4 linked regions of the Saccharomyces cerevisiae S288C genome follow. The gene in region 1 interacts genetically with each later gene. Each region holds a gene or a part of one and is shown on either strand. Other genes may lie near its edges. The genes, in order: ERV15, PUT7, SLM3 and PGM1.

What was found.
Region 2: mutations in ERV15 (region 1) and PUT7 together harm fitness more than expected from each alone (negative genetic interaction), as found in Saccharomyces cerevisiae (2 studies listed by BioGRID).
Region 3: mutations in ERV15 (region 1) and SLM3 together harm fitness more than expected from each alone (negative genetic interaction), as found in Saccharomyces cerevisiae (2 studies listed by BioGRID).
Region 4: mutations in ERV15 (region 1) and PGM1 together harm fitness more than expected from each alone (negative genetic interaction), as found in Saccharomyces cerevisiae (2 studies listed by BioGRID).

Annotation. Positions count from the first base shown.
Region 1 is NC_001134.8:642,910-647,226, reverse strand, and holds ERV15 (Erv15p), read right to left. Parts: upstream 1,678-4,317; coding exon 1,249-1,677; downstream 1-1,248. Other genes in the region: AME1 (Ame1p), read left to right, coding at 95-1,069.
Region 2 is NC_001144.5:702,338-707,393, forward strand, and holds PUT7 (Put7p), read left to right. Parts: upstream 1-2,848; coding exon 2,849-3,793; downstream 3,794-5,056. Other genes in the region: YLR278C (uncharacterized protein), read right to left, coding at 1-1,687; RSO55 (Rso55p), read right to left, coding at 2,156-2,623; ECI1 (dodecenoyl-CoA isomerase), read right to left, coding at 3,861-4,703; NNT1 (S-adenosylmethionine-dependent methyltransferase), read left to right, coding at 5,023-5,056.
Region 3 is NC_001136.10:391,284-396,475, forward strand, and holds SLM3 (tRNA-5-taurinomethyluridine 2-sulfurtransferase), read right to left. Parts: upstream 2,630-5,192; coding exon 1,376-2,629; downstream 1-1,375. Other genes in the region: GPR1 (Gpr1p), read right to left, coding at 1-774; ATP-dependent RNA helicase DBP10, read left to right, coding at 2,934-5,192. UniProt on the Saccharomyces cerevisiae protein: Catalyzes the 2-thiolation of uridine at the wobble position (U34) of mitochondrial tRNA(Lys), tRNA(Glu) and tRNA(Gln).
Region 4 is NC_001143.9:201,910-205,753, reverse strand, and holds PGM1 (phosphoglucomutase PGM1), read right to left. Parts: upstream 2,214-3,844; coding exon 501-2,213; downstream 1-500. Other genes in the region: serine/threonine protein kinase YPK1, read right to left, coding at 1-47. UniProt on the Saccharomyces cerevisiae protein: Minor phosphoglucomutase isozyme that catalyzes the reversible interconversion of alpha-D-glucose 1-phosphate and alpha-D-glucose 6-phosphate. The mechanism proceeds via the intermediate compound alpha-D-glucose 1,6-bisphosphate.

The sequences.
Region 1 (4,317 bases):
GTATAAGAAGCGATTGCTCTCATTTTTTTACGTGTCCTGTGTTGCTCTGTATTGTCTTGACTATTTGCGTGTTCATTTAAAGAAAAACCTCAGTATGGATAGAGACACTAAATTAGCTTTTAGGCTGAGGGGCAGTCATTCAAGAAGGACAGACGATATAGATGATGATGTTATTGTATTTAAGACGCCAAATGCTGTTTATAGAGAGGAGAACTCACCTATTCAATCTCCTGTTCAACCCATTTTGTCTTCACCAAAACTTGCGAATTCTTTCGAGTTTCCTATTACCACTAATAACGTAAATGCGCAGGACCGTCATGAACATGGGTATCAGCCCTTGGATGCAGAAGACTATCCCATGATCGACTCTGAAAATAAAAGTCTTATAAGCGAATCGCCGCAAAATGTTAGAAATGATGAAGACCTTACTACTCGTTACAATTTCGATGATATACCCATTAGACAGCTATCATCGTCTATCACTTCTGTGACCACAATTGATGTTTTATCTTCTTTATTCATAAACTTATTTGAAAATGATTTGATTCCGCAAGCTTTGAAGGATTTCAATAAAAGTGATGATGATCAATTTAGGAAACTATTGTACAAATTAGATCTGCGACTCTTTCAAACGATATCAGACCAAATGACCAGAGACTTGAAAGACATATTAGATATCAACGTGTCGAATAATGAGCTCTGCTACCAACTGAAGCAGGTACTTGCTCGAAAAGAAGATTTGAACCAGCAGATAATATCGGTACGAAATGAAATTCAAGAGTTGAAAGCCGGTAAAGACTGGCATGACTTACAAAATGAACAAGCCAAACTGAACGACAAAGTGAAGCTAAATAAGAGGCTAAATGATTTGACTTCTACTTTGCTAGGCAAATACGAGGGAGATCGCAAAATTATGAGCCAAGATAGCGAGGACGATTCAATACGGGATGACTCAAATATTCTGGATATTGCACATTTCGTAGACTTGATGGATCCATATAACGGACTTCTGAAAAAGATAAATAAAATTAATGAAAATCTTTCTAACGAATTACAACCAAGTCTATAGGGAATTGGTTCAAAAGATGTATATATATATATATATATATATATATGTATGTATATATGTATATATGTATATATGTATTACTTCCATACTAAGGAAGTTGTGTTATAAGGTCATTTTTATGTGGTAGACATACTTCATAGATATGCACAAATCTCTCTTTTTTTTTCCTGTTGTCGCTATTAGCTTATCAAATTTGCATCATTTTCAAGTAACGCTGTGACCATTCTGTAGAAGTAGAAAAAGAATATGAGAAGGTAAAATCCCAATTTTAAAAAGCATTCAATTTTGCATCTACCCAATTTTCTGAAAATATCCGTGGCGTCCAGTAGATGTGTTTTCTTGTAGACTTTACTTGCGTTATATGCTAGAACAGGGACATTCAAGAGAAATACGAACCAGTACCCGTTAAAAAGAAACAATGCAGAAATGAAAGCTTGTAGAATTGCCTCTGGTACACTCAACCTATTCACCCTCTTACACAGTTCGATTGAGTTGATATAGTCTGCTTCAAGATCACCATATAATATAGTAAAGTATATCTGGCAAATGGAATTCAAACAATTCAGTATAAGACCCGTCACGAATAGCGATAATCCGGTTCCTGACATCTTTACTCTTGGCTTCGAACTTCTTGGTGCCTGCAGTTAGTTTTATCTTTAGTAAAAAATGATAATGAAAGTGCTTATATGAATAAAGGTATTAATGTCTTCGTATTTAGCAATGTAATTGAAAAATCATTCGTGGCCCACGACAATATTTCCAAATTATCACAGCTTTCGATAGAAGTGAACGATTTTGAATTAGAGAGAGTAGTAGTGAGCTAGACGTACTGTGTTTTGAGAATTGAAGTTTGTATAGCAAAACTATACTATCATAATGCAACATTCAAGAAAAATAATGGTATAGAAACAAAAAATAACTCCGATACGGGGAGTCGAACCCCGGTCTCCACGGTGAAAGCGTGATGTGATAGCCGTTACACTATATCGGATAATAACTTATGTTTGATTTAACCTTAAAGATTTTCTATGTCAAGTTTAAACTGGAGGGCTTTCTATTGCCGAACAATCCTAGCTAAAGGCTTTTTTCCCTATTTACAGAAGAAAATGTAATGACTGAAGATTTTGAAAGGTCTCGTTTGATGGCTAGCAGGCTACACCTAGAATTACCCAATTCCAAAGGTTGGTCATCATAGGAAAACAACCAGCATGAACCTTACCCTAGTTCTCTTGCTACTATTTCACATCATCAGGTGATGTCAACTCAGCTTATTGTCAGTGACGACGGATTAGCATTGATACCTGATGTCATTTTAACACGTGTGTTGGATGGGATCCTATACACACCCAAAGAAGATGATTTTTACAACGACACCACCACCATGTATTATGTTTTTGCCACCTGGGGTGATCAAAGTTGGTCATCCTTCGGTTATGATAATACAGCAAGCCTGCAAGAGCACGAAAGATATGTTTTCTAACTTCTTGCCGAGCAGGGAATATTGGGGATTTGGACCGTTGGAATAAATGGGTCCTCAATATTGACAGGAGTCGGTTTTGGAATGAGAATTAACTATCATTTAGTGATGGTAATCCTATTACTAGAATATTATCAGATACAATGTTAGAGGACAATAGGAATACATAAAATAGAAGAAATAATGATGGCATTACATCGAAATATCGATTACACTATATCTTGGAGGAGAACTTTTTATTTTATTTTGTATATCTGATGCTATAGCCTCTAACAATAAGTTAATCCCAACAACTATCTCAATATTCATATAATCGTCTGAGAGATTGATAACAGCTAGTAATGTAGCTAACAGTCAAAAGATAATAAATGATTCATCTTCCAACAGCTTGCGGGGAAAGTTTTTCACACTAATGTGCGGTGTTGTTTTCCTTAACAGGCTCTGAGCAAAATATGGAGAGAGAGGTCTCATTTACTTTGCCATTCTTCATTTAAGCTTGAGGCTTGTTCTACTGAAATGTTAAGTTCTCAGAAGCCAACTTTGGATCAAAGGGCTTTGTTAGTAGCAAAACGCTATTTCTATTGATTTTGATTATTTTTCGAAACATTAAGAGCACAATGTATATTAATTTTCCCTGATGAATAGTTAAGATGATTAGATGGGCTAGGCGCTTAAAAATGAGAAACAGGTGAAATTTGAGATAAATGTTGATTTCGTTGTTGCTAAAGGCTATAATATCAGGTATACAAAATATACTGGAAATATACCTCGAGAATCTTGGAATCCACGAAAGGGAATAGATATTACTCCATAATAATATTATGTTGGAACGAGAGTAATTAATAGTGACATGAGTTGCTATGGTAACAATTCAATGCTTACATCGTATATTAATGTACAACTCGTATACGTTTAAGTGTGATTGCGCCTATTGCAGAAGGAATGTTAAACGAGAAGCTCAGACAATACTGAAGCTGTGTTAAAGACCTATTAGTTGAACATGTTATGGTAGGTACATATATGAGGAATATGAGTCGTCACATCAATGTATAGTAACTACCGGAATCACTATTATATTGGTCATGATTAATATGACCAATCGGCGTGTGTTTTATATACCTCTCTTATTTAGTATAAGAAGATCAGTAATTATTTCTTCATTAATACTAATTTTTAACCTCTAATTATCAACATATTATTTCTCCTTTCGTTTTATCTGATGTCATTCATTGATTGCCAGCAACTATCCCAAACCTCATGTGATTCTCGGATTCCTTACCACGAAAAAACAGATGTGTAAGTGTATTTGAACACACAATAATAAAAATGATTATCATTCCCAGATGGAGGAGCCCATTCCAAACATAGCAAAATTCAGCACATCCTCTTCGTTAGCATTTCCGTATGGAAGCAACCCTCAGTCCAACAAATACCGTTTAAACAAATGAGCGACATTTATTCGCTTTTTCTAAAATAAAGGTCCCCGCTGAAACTTCTTTGCATACAGTTCAAATATTCCACCGTTCTCTTATATGTGGGGCTGGCACTACTTCGTATAATTGACTATACTATCTATATTAGTCTTCCCACATGTAATAGAAAGCTCGTATGGCGCAGTGGTAGCGCAGCAGATTGCAAATCTGTTGGTCCTTAGTTCGATCCTGAGTGCGAGCTTCTTTTTTTTTTTGCAATCCTTATTGAACTTTTTTTCTTGCTGCAGTCTCCTCAAAGGCAACATGTTCTTTGCTTTTTTTCCCCAACGACGTCGAAC
Region 2 (5,056 bases), on another chromosome or scaffold:
GATCAATGGATTGCTTCACTGACCTGGAATCGTTTTTCAATAGCTGTAAAGTCTCTACAAATTGAGATTCAATTCTTCGCAGCTTTAGAGACTGATTGATGAATTGCACACCATGGTCATTGGTTGATGGAGCCGCCGCATGCACACCTTTTGTATAAAAAGAGTCGTTATTGAAAAGAGGTAAATTTATTTCCGACTCCTTGATTGTATAAGGTTTCCCCACAGCAACACAAATCATTCTTTCCAACAGGTAAACACACCAAAATAGTCGCAGTTTCTTATTTGCAAATGGATCATTAGGATACCATTGATTTAGATGAAGTTTCTTCTTGGATATGCCCATGACATCCTTGATTATGTCATATAGTATCAGAGAATCTCTATCAGTCCTAATAATGTAAAGGACAAGCAATGTCAACAGTTCTATTTGCTGAACATAATTCAAATGTAGACCACACTTAGTGATGTGACGGATAGCGGTGGAGAAATATCGGTGAGGTGGAAACCCCTTGTACTTACCTGTGGTCATCAGTAAGTAGGCGCTGATGCTGAAGACAAGCCACATTCTGCCGGATAGAAAATGAAATTCTATTTCAGAATACGAATGTGAATTCGACGGTGGTGCTGCGGAAGACGTGGCGGGAGAAGATGGTGGGATAAGAATCTTGTTGTGGAGGTAGTGGTCATAAAAAGTATAGATTTCTTGTTCGTCTAAGATAGGGTACTTGAATTGTAATCTTGTGAAAAAAGTGTCCAAGAAGGAACGTGACAGCTTCTCATTCAGTTCAAAAATAGGGTCATACATCAAAAACTCTTTTTTCAAATTGTATTTGGCAAAAATACACTTAGTGAAGTCCAGCGTCTCTAAAGGGTCATTCAAAAGGCTCGCGGATTGGCAGATAGCATTATTGTTGTTTATGTTGTTCGTACTGGCCGATGTATCGTTAGTGGCCGCATTAACGTTGCTGCCGTTATTGTTTGTGTTCTCCAGGGGTTTGTTGGAAGGAGATGGCAGCGGCAGTATGACCATATTGCTGCTGTTCGGTCTAGAGTAATCAGAAGTGTTGTTACTGAACAAATGAGAAACCTTCTTGTACTGGGATAATTCGTAGTTGTACTGGTTGCATCCCGGCGATAAATCGAGCAAAGTCTCCAAACTTTTTAGTTTTTTCTCCAAGAAAATCGTATACTGATCTTTGTCTTGCCTCATCAGGTTTGGATTGGAATTTGTCGTGACGGACTTTATCGTTTTCCTGAATTCATTCGCGTCGCCAGCATCAACATTACTATTGCTAGTGGAAATGGGTTTTATTATCGTCATGTCATTCAGAGAAGTGGCAGCGCCAGCGCCAGCGCCAATACTGCTATCTTGCAGCTCACGTTTTATTACAGGATGAGGTGTAGGAGGTACAGTGCCAGCTGTAGGGGTGTTGTTGTTGGTGTTACTGTTCGAAGTGGAAGAAGAGTACTTGGAGGGCTGCACGCACTTTATTCCTGCTTTCAAACAGGCGGTACAACTGGGTAATTTATGGTCGCATCGTTGCTTTCTTCTTCTACAAAGAAGACAAGACCTGGAACGGCCCTTTTTGTCTTGCAACAAGACGTCTGTCCTGTTACCGGCCAGCTCCAGTTCTCTCTTCAACTGTTGTATTTTCTCCTGGCTAACATTCTTCCTTGGACGGCCCATTATTATTTACGTGTATTGTTGGTAGTTAGCCCGAAGATTATGAGTACGTGAAATACACTTGTCTTTATGAAAGAGTGGAAAAATGGTGGGGAGTAAGTTATACTATTGACGTGTAAAAAAAAAAAAAAAAAAATGTTAATGGAACGACCGATCTAAAGAACCATATATAATGAATGACTAAAAAAAGCAAAATAGTTAAGAATCCAAGAAAGATACTAAGAAAAGGCGAAAAGAAAAAGAAAAAGTATGTCCGCTAACAAAGATTAGCGTATAAGCACCACACGATGCGATTCAGGTCTCAACGTGCAGTGTGCAGGAGCAGGAACTATTCAATGTATTGTTGTTCCAGGGTTTTTGTTCGCAACCCACGTCTTGACCGACGGTACCCGCAGGTGAAAATTTTAGCAAAGTTACACTTTTTTTTTCATTTTTTTTTTTCTTTTCTCCTCCATCTAATTTCACCTGCGGTTACCGGCGGAATAACTCGCGCACCATTTCTCTGTCTCGGGCCTCGCGTTCCTCTTTTTCGACTCGAGCGGCCTCTTCACGCTGCTCGTACTTCGCGACGCTGCGCCGGCGCTGCGAGCGTTTCTGTTGACGGTGCCACTGTAGAAGCGCCTCCTCTCTGGACGGCATCGTGTCGTACGACGCCGCAAGTTCGCGCGCGAGCTTAAGCCGGGCAAGCTTTCGATTTTGCTCACGTGACCGCGTTTCTTGGCACTCGACAACGATCCCAGTGGGTTCATGCCGTAGTTGTACCTTAGAATTACACTTATTAATCTTTTGGCCACCGGGCCCTCTGCCGCCATGAAGGAATTTCTCAGTGCATTGTGCTTCCATCTCTGGCGTGAACTTTGGTCGCGGTGGTAGCTTGTTCTTTTTAATCAGCAGCACTGCGGCACTGCTGATTGACCTCTTACTCGCTCCCCTCATCATAGTTTACTAGTCTCGGATTCTTCTGCGCTTTTTCCAGGGTCGCATAGCTTGTAGGTTGGTAGCATAGACTTATATATAAACTCATATCCGTTCTAGGAACGTATAGCGCGCTATGGTAGTCCGGGGAAAATGCACAGTTTAGTTAAGTGTATAGTAATTTTATCGATAAAGGAAGAATGGAAGAGGTTTATGTATACATGTAAACTCTGAACATCTAATAGACTAATGATGCGGTTAATACGTACATTGCCGCTTCGATGCTTCAAAACTAGAATACGGCGGCAAGGCTCGTTGTTGTGTTTGCGGTGCTTTAGTTCGTATTCAAAACCACTTTTGCAGAAATCAATGTCATTGAAAAATATCCAGTTATCAGACCTATCCTCATCGCCATTATCCAAGAACAAGGAGAAGCAGGAGAAGCCAGAGAAGGAAAACGAAGGAAAGCACTCCATTGGCCTGTTAGACAGATTTTCAGAGGACTTTATTACTCAGGGCAATGGATTGAAACCTACTACTTCACAAAATCAATTGGATACTATAAAGTTTTATCAAATGCTTCGTGAAAGAGGCAATTTTTCCGATGAACAATGTAAAATTATCATAGCTCTATTGTTGCAACTACTAAATGATCAGTTTTATTCCTGTTACAATGATTTGTTCTTAAGGGATATGGAGCTGAATAAACAATCACATTTGTTCAGCTCGCTAGAAACAGAATTGAAATTCGCAATTCAAAACTCTAGAGACACGCAACTAAATGAGCACCACTTGCAATTATTAAAACTCAAGAGAGAACTTAACTCAATCCATGATGAACTGAATGAAATCATAATAGATCTTTTGCAAAAGGACGCTAAATTAGAATTTAACAATCAAAAATTAGAAAACACCCTTTTGTATCGACAATTAAACCTGAAATTGAACGACTGTTCTAACAAGATTCAAACCAAGATACTGGGGGATATCAGGTCACATATCGAAAATTTAAGATGGCAGACAACCAGAAGCGGTCTTTTGGTAATATTAGTCCTTGTTTGTTCGATTATGATCGGTGTAAGCGCATCTAAGAAGGAACGCCCAGGTTTACAGGAACCTGAGGAACCTGAAATTTTAGCACCAAAGGAAGACATTGATACTACCTTCCCTCAAGATCAACATGATATAGATTAATTAGCATACATATTGTCTGTACATAAGTATATTGTGTGTGCGTTTTGTTTCACTGAGAAAGCGGACGTCATAAACGATGCTTCCTTTGTTTCGAGCCCAGCTGCCTAAATCTTTTTAAGGGCTCTCCATCTACCCAATACTTGAGAGATTCATTTACTTCCACTGAGTTAGCCTTATTGAATGCATCGATGTGGTTCGATTTCAGCAATTTTTTCATCCCTAAGCAACTGGGCAGGTATAGCCCTTTCACTTTCTCCCTCAATTCTTCTAAGACCTTTGCATTGAACGCTTCAGCGTTTGAAGATGGCATGTTAAAATTCTTGCTTATAAATCCGTTCTCGCACATTATATCGTACTTGAATGGTTTGTTGAACATGAGGCATTCATACGTCGTATTTGTGCCAAACTTCAATGGCAAAGAGACCGTTGTACCACCTTCGGTAATTAGTCCTAAGTTAGCAAAGGGGTATAGCAAATAAACCTTGTCATTTATACTGTACACAATGTCACATAACGCTACCAGTGCCGCGCTCAACCCTATTGCTGGTCCATTCAAACAGCAAATTAAAACTTTGGAATGCTTGATGAAGGCATCAGTGACATAAACATTTCTAGCGACAAAATTTGACACCCACTTGCTTGTTTCCGAAGGATATTTATTGGTATCATCCCCTTGGGCTTTTGCAATACCCTTGAAATCAGCACCACTGGAAAAAAATCTACCACTGCTTTGTATAATTGTAAAATATACATCACGATTTCTGTCCGCTAGTTCTAGTAACTCTCCTAAATAAATATAGTCTTCACCTTCTAGTGCATTCAAATTGTCAGGGTTCATTAAGTGAATAATGAAGAATGGTCCTTCAATACGATAACTGATTTTCTCATTTTGCCTAATTTCTTGCGACATATTGTTCTTCCTTCCTTTACTGTGCGAGCAATTTGTGCCATACACTCCAATTATCTATCCATATGTTCATCTTTCAGTTCTTATATATAGTGCTTCACTTTTATTAACCGCTCTTGGGGTAAAAGAGAAACGGTCACTGCTACAGCCTTTCGGAATAATATTTCTTATGCCCGTCGCCAATTTCAGATTCTTTCCTTCGTGCCGCATTTATTTTATTTTTCAAAATGACGAGAAGTTAAAATCTAAAATCAGGAAAAAGAACAGTTGCAGATGACGAAATACTTCGAGCATTATCGCAATAAATAAGGCGTGTAAACGTATGTCAGATATAGAATCATTGGGAGAGGCAGCAG
Region 3 (5,192 bases), on another chromosome or scaffold:
AATAATGAAATATCTGGGACCCCAGCTTAAAACAATTTTATACCAGTACGGCTTGGGTGGTAAATAGCACCATGCACTCCAAGGTTTGTAGCCACCTTGCCTGGGAGAATCGGGAAAGTTGTAGTTATTATTATCCAGTATAATAGTGGTGTCAGAATCGTCATTGAGTTTATTATAATTAATGAAGGCTAAGCTTGCTAAAATGGCAGGTACTAATGCAGTAATTGGCCAGATATATGACCTTTTTTTGTACAAGCCACCCTCCATATTTCCCGATCTTTTATTTCGCCATTTCCAATTAGGCTTGAAGATCAAAATAGCAAAATGTATGGCGAATATCATTATGGCCATGTCTGCACCTTCGATGGCAAAGGCCGTAAACCAACCCAAGGTATTAAAAAATGCAGGTGTTGCATACACACTATTATTAATAAGGATAATCATGGGATAAATCATCAGAATAAAAGCTTTAAGAAAGTCGCAAATTATCAAAAATGCGATGAGATCATGTCTGAAGACTTTTCGTCTCTTATCCATTTTAGAAAGGAAGAACATTCCGAGGCAACCGGCAATAAGGGACACGGCAGACGCAGTTATAGCTATTATTCTTAACTGCAACAGTTGCGGAGCCGTGAATGTAGAGGTCATCCCCGGCAACCCCAGCAGCTGGTTAACCGTGGTAGTGTTAAGCTGTCGGAGAGAATCAACTCTCTTTTCTAGTAAGGATGACCCTTTCAACGCGTTTAAATTCGGGGGAAATCCCTCAGTTATCATTTTGAGTTGGAGAGTTTGCTTTATTCGTCACACTTCGGATCACTTGTTTGTCGTTTTTTTTTTTTGGTGACTCTTACTGCTTTTTATAGACACACACACACACACACACACACACCTTCTTCTGGATACCGTAGAGAAAGGGATGTAGACAAATAAAAAAGGACAAAAGCTAGAAAAAAGACGGAAGAGGACGTGCGATTGCGTTGAATATGACCTTCGCAAATAAATATTAATAAATATGACGTTTTTGCCGCAATGCTAATTCTATAACCCACTCCTTCGTTGCCTTCTATGCTTTAATTAAACAATGGGTCCGGCTCAAACCTGGAAGGAAGATTTATAAATCTTGAAAAGAAAAAAAAGTGTGATTTAAAAAAATGAAAAAGAAAAACAAGAGGGCAAAAAAAAATGAACTACTTATTGAGACATGATTCAAGGGAAAAGACCTTCATATATACAGATTACTTTTCGAAATGGTCAGCCGCTTCATGAGCTCTTCTTGGCTGTATCGTACCACCGTGGTTCAATTAGGCAAGTATGTTGCTAAGATTAATTGCTGCGGCGCATCGTATAAGGTGATATACTAAATTCATTATCATCACTATGCATGGGTGTCATTATTATTAACATGGGAAATGGGCCCACTCCCAAGGACTCTATCGTCGATATATAGACAGCACGATTGCCCAGGAGTTATGGCACGTTGTTTTGAGGCTAAGTGTATTGTTATGTCGAGGTTGTCGGCAGAGCGATTCAGTTTGCACGATTTAATTTGGACTGGGACCTGCAGGGACCGGAATTGTAATGTCAAGGCACCAGTATTTTGGAAAGCGTTTATAGTGTCCTCCCTGGGGCCCAAAGACGAAAAGTTTTCGATTCGCATAGTGTCACTGTATAGCGCCGGATTATCTCTTCCTCTGACTATCAAGATTTCGTTGGTATCCCTTAGTTTTTCACTGACAAACCAGGTCCCTTGGTAATTAGGGTCAGCTTGTGGCATGGATATGCCCACTTTCTGTCCAATTGTGTAAGACCACAATCCATCGTGTCTGCCCCATGTCGTTTTGGCACCGGATTGTGGGTCAACGGTAATGATATCACCCGGTGAACTGGGTAGGTAGTGCTTTAAAAAATTCTTGAACTTCCCATGCTGGGAATTGTTGACGAAGCATATGCCCTGTGAATCAGGCTTTTCTGCAGTCGGGAGGCCTGCATACTTCGCTAAATCTCGTACTTCTGGTTTCGTTAGATGGCCAATGGGTAGCAACAAAGATGACAAAACAGTGGAGTTGATTTGTGAAAGGTAATAGCTTTGATCCTTGGGCCTATAAATGCTTCTCAGTAAATGGAATAATCCTTTTCCATTCATTTCCTGCATAACTCGGGCGTAATGACCAGTAACAAGCCAATAGTTACCCGTCCCATACTTCTCATCCAGCCACTCTCTCAGCTTGCCGAACTTGACGAACTTGTTGCAACCGATATCTGGATTGGGTGTCGACCCTTCACTGTAGCCTCTCAACATTGGTTCAAATACATCTATCCAATAATCTTGCTCAAAATTAACTTTGTCAACTCGGATGTTCAAATGCTTAGCGACACGGTTCACATCTCTCCAATCCCTCTCGTAGCATGGCTCCTTGCCAGGGTCGTCCAAAGATTGTGATTCAGACCAGTTCTGCATATATACTCCTCGGGTATTTGGAAATTCTCCGGCAAATAGTGCTGCCGCCACAGAGGAATCTACCCCAGATGACATTGCCACTATCACGTTGTCAAACTTTGCCGGTAGCCGCTGTGGTCTGTACGGTGAAGCACTCCTCCGTCCTATTAAATTTAAATATCTTGCCAGCATTGTTATCTGACTTGAATCGATTGCCAAATCAATACGCTCACATTTTTAACGTTCTTGTATGTTTCCAAACTTTCATTCTTTTACAATAAAGCAATGTTTTGCCTCAACTATTGAAAGAAAAAAATAAGAGACCAATTGTTACTACCCGGCGCTCTTAAAATTTTCAAGCGATGAGATGAAATTCATACAAAATGGCTTTACAGAGAGTTACTAGTACTTCACTAACTTCCTACTGCTTGAAGTAAAGTCACTAAAAGTACTTTTGTCATTTAAGTTACCACCACATATCTCTTTAACCTAGAATATGGCAGGCGTGCAGAAAAGAAAAAGGGATCTCGAAGATCAAGACGACAATGGAAGCGAGGAGGACGACATCGCCTTTGATATTGCAAATGAAATTGCCTTAAATGATAGTGAGAGTGATGCTAACGACTCCGATAGTGAAGTTGAAGCTGATTATGGTCCCAACGATGTCCAGGATGTGATCGAGTACAGCTCAGATGAAGAAGAAGGAGTGAACAATAAGAAGAAGGCTGAAAACAAGGACATCAAGAAAAAAAAGAATAGTAAGAAGGAAATAGCAGCATTTCCAATGTTAGAAATGTCAGATGATGAAAACAATGCATCTGGTAAAACTCAAACCGGTGATGATGAGGATGATGTCAATGAATATTTCTCCACAAATAACTTGGAGAAAACAAAGCATAAAAAAGGTAGTTTTCCCAGCTTTGGCCTATCCAAAATTGTATTGAACAATATTAAAAGGAAGGGATTTCGCCAACCCACTCCTATTCAAAGGAAGACTATCCCATTAATTTTGCAAAGTAGGGATATTGTTGGTATGGCACGTACCGGTTCTGGTAAGACTGCAGCATTCATCTTGCCAATGGTGGAAAAATTGAAAAGTCACTCAGGTAAAATTGGCGCCCGTGCAGTCATCTTATCGCCTTCCAGAGAATTAGCCATGCAGACTTTCAACGTTTTCAAGGATTTTGCCAGAGGAACAGAACTAAGAAGCGTCCTCTTGACTGGTGGTGATTCCTTGGAAGAACAATTTGGCATGATGATGACCAACCCAGACGTTATTATTGCAACACCTGGTAGATTTTTACATCTGAAAGTTGAAATGAACCTCGATTTGAAGAGTGTTGAGTACGTTGTTTTCGATGAAGCTGATAGGTTGTTCGAAATGGGTTTTCAAGAACAGTTGAATGAATTACTTGCATCTTTGCCTACAACAAGACAGACTTTGTTGTTTTCTGCTACTCTACCTAATTCATTGGTTGATTTTGTTAAGGCTGGTTTGGTTAATCCAGTTTTGGTTCGTTTGGACGCGGAAACGAAAGTTTCAGAGAACTTAGAAATGCTTTTTCTATCCAGTAAAAACGCAGATAGAGAGGCGAACCTATTATATATTTTGCAAGAAATCATAAAGATTCCGTTAGCCACTAGTGAACAACTTCAAAAGCTGCAAAATAGTAACAATGAGGCAGATAGTGACTCAGATGATGAAAATGATCGCCAAAAGAAGAGGAGGAATTTCAAGAAGGAAAAGTTCCGTAAACAAAAAATGCCTGCAGCTAATGAACTTCCTTCTGAAAAAGCAACTATTCTGTTCGTTCCAACAAGACATCATGTGGAATACATTTCTCAACTCTTAAGAGACTGCGGATACTTGATTTCGTACATCTACGGTACTTTGGACCAACATGCTCGTAAACGTCAATTATATAATTTTAGGGCGGGCTTAACTTCCATTTTGGTTGTTACAGATGTTGCTGCAAGAGGTGTCGATATTCCAATGTTAGCCAATGTTATTAATTACACATTACCTGGTTCATCAAAAATTTTTGTACATCGTGTAGGTAGAACTGCAAGAGCCGGTAACAAAGGTTGGGCATATTCCATTGTCGCTGAAAATGAATTACCTTACCTATTAGATTTGGAGCTATTTTTGGGGAAAAAAATTCTTCTAACACCAATGTACGATAGTCTAGTCGACGTGATGAAGAAAAGGTGGATAGATGAAGGAAAACCGGAATATCAATTTCAACCCCCAAAGCTTTCTTACACAAAAAGACTCGTTCTAGGTTCATGTCCAAGACTGGATGTTGAAGGCTTAGGTGATCTTTATAAGAATCTGATGTCCTCTAATTTTGACCTTCAGTTGGCGAAGAAAACAGCCATGAAGGCAGAAAAACTTTACTACAGAACACGCACTTCCGCCTCCCCTGAATCTTTAAAGAGAAGTAAAGAGATCATTTCTTCTGGCTGGGATGCTCAAAATGCATTTTTTGGTAAAAATGAAGAGAAGGAAAAATTGGATTTTTTGGCTAAATTGCAAAACAGAAGAAACAAGGAAACGGTATTTGAGTTCACCAGAAACCCAGACGATGAAATGGCAGTGTTTATGAAAAGGAGAAGAAAGCAATTAGCGCCAATTCAACGAAAGGCGACTGAAAGAAGGGAACTATTAGAAAAGGAAAGAATGGCTGGTCTTTCACATTCTATCGAAGATGAAATTTTGAAAGGTGACGATGGTGAGACAGGTTACACCGTGTCA
Region 4 (3,844 bases), on another chromosome or scaffold:
TCTTCTTTAGATTTTCCAAACTTAAACTTTGACTTCCAAGAATACATTTTCAGGAACTGTATTAATGTTTGTTGATATGAGAGGAACTTTGAAGTGTCAATTTCCCGCTGTATACAAAGAAATTGTAGAGTAATCTATATCAAAGAATATAAAGGCTTTGAAATTTAACCAAACACAAACAAACCAATTCTAAAAAGTATGGGAGCGAAAAATAACTCAACTGTTGTTGGTATGACGATAGTGTTGATTACCGTTGGCTCGTTCGGGATAAGCATTTTTTAAGCCTTCCAATAGGGGCATGTTTTGATCTTGTTTTCCTGTAGCGCGGCTCTGCCGCGAAGAAAGTCGCGAGTAACGAAAAACAAAAACAATGTTGTATTATGAAGCTAATTGATAAGTCAATCAGCAAAAAATAGATATACTACATATATCCTCTACATATAAATTAAGATCAGTTAAAACATCTTTGGAAAATTAGTGCTTGTTCAAGACCAATAATTCTATGTGCGGACTGTTGGTTCGTCTGTTCCTAAAATTTCTTTAAATCTTAAGAATTTTACAATGGAGTTGATGACGGGTTTCAAGAAGACGTCAGCTGTTTGGCCATAGTTCTCCTTTTTATCAGTATACTTTTCTACGTATAATCTTATTGTTGCACCAGAACTGCCTGTGCCGGATAACCTCAAAACAAATTTAGTCCCATTCGAAAACTTTACGAAAAGGCCTTGATTTTCAGAGATGGAGCCATCTAGATCTCTATACGAAAAATCACCACAATCGATAACGGTTAAAGACTCATCAGCTGGGAAGTGGGAGCCACAAACGTTTGGCCTTGATACAAATTCACTCAAAAGAGCTACAACTTTTTCGGCCTGCTCGCATTCGATATGTTCGTAATCGTATCTTGTGAAGAAAGTACGGCCATACTCGTTCCAAAATTCGTCCTGAATAGTTTTGATCGAAGCTTCCTTTTCAGGGTTACGCCTATGGTAGATAGCCAAGATATTTAACCAAGCAATAATGGCCCATAGACCGTCCTTTTCTCTGATATGATTGGAACCTGTACCGAAGGATTCTTCACCACAGATTGATAGCTTTTTAGCATCAAATAAGGCACAGAAGAATTTCCAGCCGGTTGGAACTTCGTAACATCTTAATCCCTTTTTTGCTGCAACACGATCAATGGCTGAGGATGTAGGAAATGAACGTGCCAAGCCATAAATACCTTGTTTGGCGAAGTATGGAATTTCGGGTGCATATTCGGCAATAATGGCAACAGAATCACCTGGCGAAACGAAAGCAGGGCCATAACCGTAAATCATATTCCTATCACCATCACCATCGGAGGCTGCTCCAAAGGCAATTTTTTCGCGGTCAACCCTGTCAACAAGAGTTCGTGCATAGGTTAGATTCGGATCGGGATGTAAACCGCCGAAATCAGGTAAAGGGTGCCAATTTTGAAGAACTTCCTCTGCCGGTAAACCAAATTCATCAACAAATATAGCCTTACCATATGGTCCTGTAATACCATTTAAGGAGTCAAACAACAACTTCCACCCTTTGTCTTTGCGCTGTTTCGCTAAGAAGCTTTTAATTAAGTCAAAATCAAAAATTTCCTTCAGAAATTGAACGTATGCTTTGGCAGGATCAATTATGTCCACTAACAATGGGCCATATTTTTGGTTTTTACCAAGCTTGTTCAAATTCAACTTGGGGAAGTTCTTTATAATTTTATAGTGAGTTAATTTTTTAGACGCTTCCCAGATAGCGTTAGTGACACTCTCTGGAGCTGGCCCACCATTAGGTAAATTATACTTGATACCTAAATCATTCTCTGGACCGCCTGGGTTGTGTGAGGCAGTTAATATGATACCACCACCGGTACACTTTTCCTCGTATGTTCTAATTATATGAGAAGCAGCTGGTGTTGAAAGTAAACCGCCTTGACCAATGACTAACTTTCTGACACCGTTTGCAGCACCTACTGCGGCAATCTTGTTCATGATAACATCGTTGTAGAAACGACCATCTCCTCCAACAACTAAAGTGGTTCCCTCTGAGCCATTAGGGATAGATTGCATTGTTGCTTGAATGAAGTTCTCAGTATAATGAGGCTCATCCATGAAAACCTTGGTCTTCTTACGTAAACCTGAAGTACCCGGTTTTTGGTCCTTATAAGCAACTGTTGGTACAGAATCTATTAGAAGTGACATTTACTATTCAATTGAGTTGTTAGTTACCTATTTTTGCACTATTGAACCGAAAGTGGATGAGAGAGAGAATGTTTATAGGTAGACCAAAATCGATGTGATGCGCCCTTCTCCTTTTCTTGCATCCGTAATATAAACGCGAAATACCAGGTAAAAAAAGACAAAATCTCAAATAGCGAGAATGCCGATTTTAGAACATCATTTTTCTATTTACAAGTATAGCATTGTCGGTACTGAATGCCCTTATTCCTCATGACAGACTGAAACCACCGTGATACAATTGTGGTAACGTCATACATTTGACATTTATCAGGGGAAGACAGAGATCCTCTACTAGGTCATATGCGGGATAAAAAAATCTCCACGTCAATAGTGTAAAATTGTAAATAAAACTGTGGGCATTGCTGTTCTCGAGAAAAGCTGCCACTTGTGTTTGAACGGTGTCGGCTTTAGCATCCTGTTTTAAAAAGAAAGCCCTGTAGGGGGCTCGAACCCCTAACCTTATGATTAAGAGTCATACGCGCTACCGATTGCGCCAACAAGGCTTTTAAACGTGATTGTGTTGTATCTCAAAATGAGATATGTCAGTATGACAATACGTCACCCTGAACGTTCATAAAACACATATGAAACAACCTTATAACAAAACGAACAACATGAGACAAAACCCGACCTTCCCTAGCTGAACTACCCAAAGTATAAATGCCTGAACAATTAGTTTAGATCCGAGATTCCGCGCTTCCACCACTTAGTATGATTCATATTTTATATAATATATAAGATAAGTAACATTCCGTGAATTAATCTGATAAACTGTTTTGACAACTGGTTACTTCCCTAAGACTGTTTATATTAGGATTGTCAAGACACTCCGGTATTACTCGAGCCCGTAATACAACAGATTGATACGACCGTTAGAAATCGATAATAGATTCTCTATAATAGGCTCATTATAATAACTACTATCCCTAAATTCACCTATTTCTCCATATCATGTACGGCAAGTTTTTTTGAGAAGAAATTTATTGTATTTTATACTTCACAATAATGCTTTTAGTAAGATGGGATCAGAACAATCATTACAAAATTTCATTTATAGTTCAGCGATAATGTTCTGAAAAAGTTTCAATTCAATTCACGTGAGGACAATAACACTATGTACAGTAGATAACTTAAAAGTTCTTCTGCCGCGTTTTGGATAATTTCACGAGGGGAAATGGACAATTTTACTTAATACTGCTACCATTTCTTCCCTCGTTTATATCCTTTCATTCATTGCTGGGTTTGCATGGTCAGTCCTTACTAATTAGCTTCCTATAAACTCGATGACAGTTAGGACGCTCACGGACAATTATATTCTGAAAACACAAGTAATACTATTAATCTTTTGTACCAACAATTGATTAATACCAAACTCTTATTCCAAACAAAAGAGGTTCGTACTTAGCCGGTCAAACCTGGGCTGCGAAAAAGTCCGTGAAAATTAAGAAGAGGCTCAGTGTTTTCAGATGAAAGCGATTAAAATTTACAGATATTATCTTCTATTGCGTGGTTGTGCAACGTTTGAATAAATATTTGTAATCCTAATTTCTTGCAGATTCGGATATGACCCAGCAGGCATGTGCGAGTCAAGT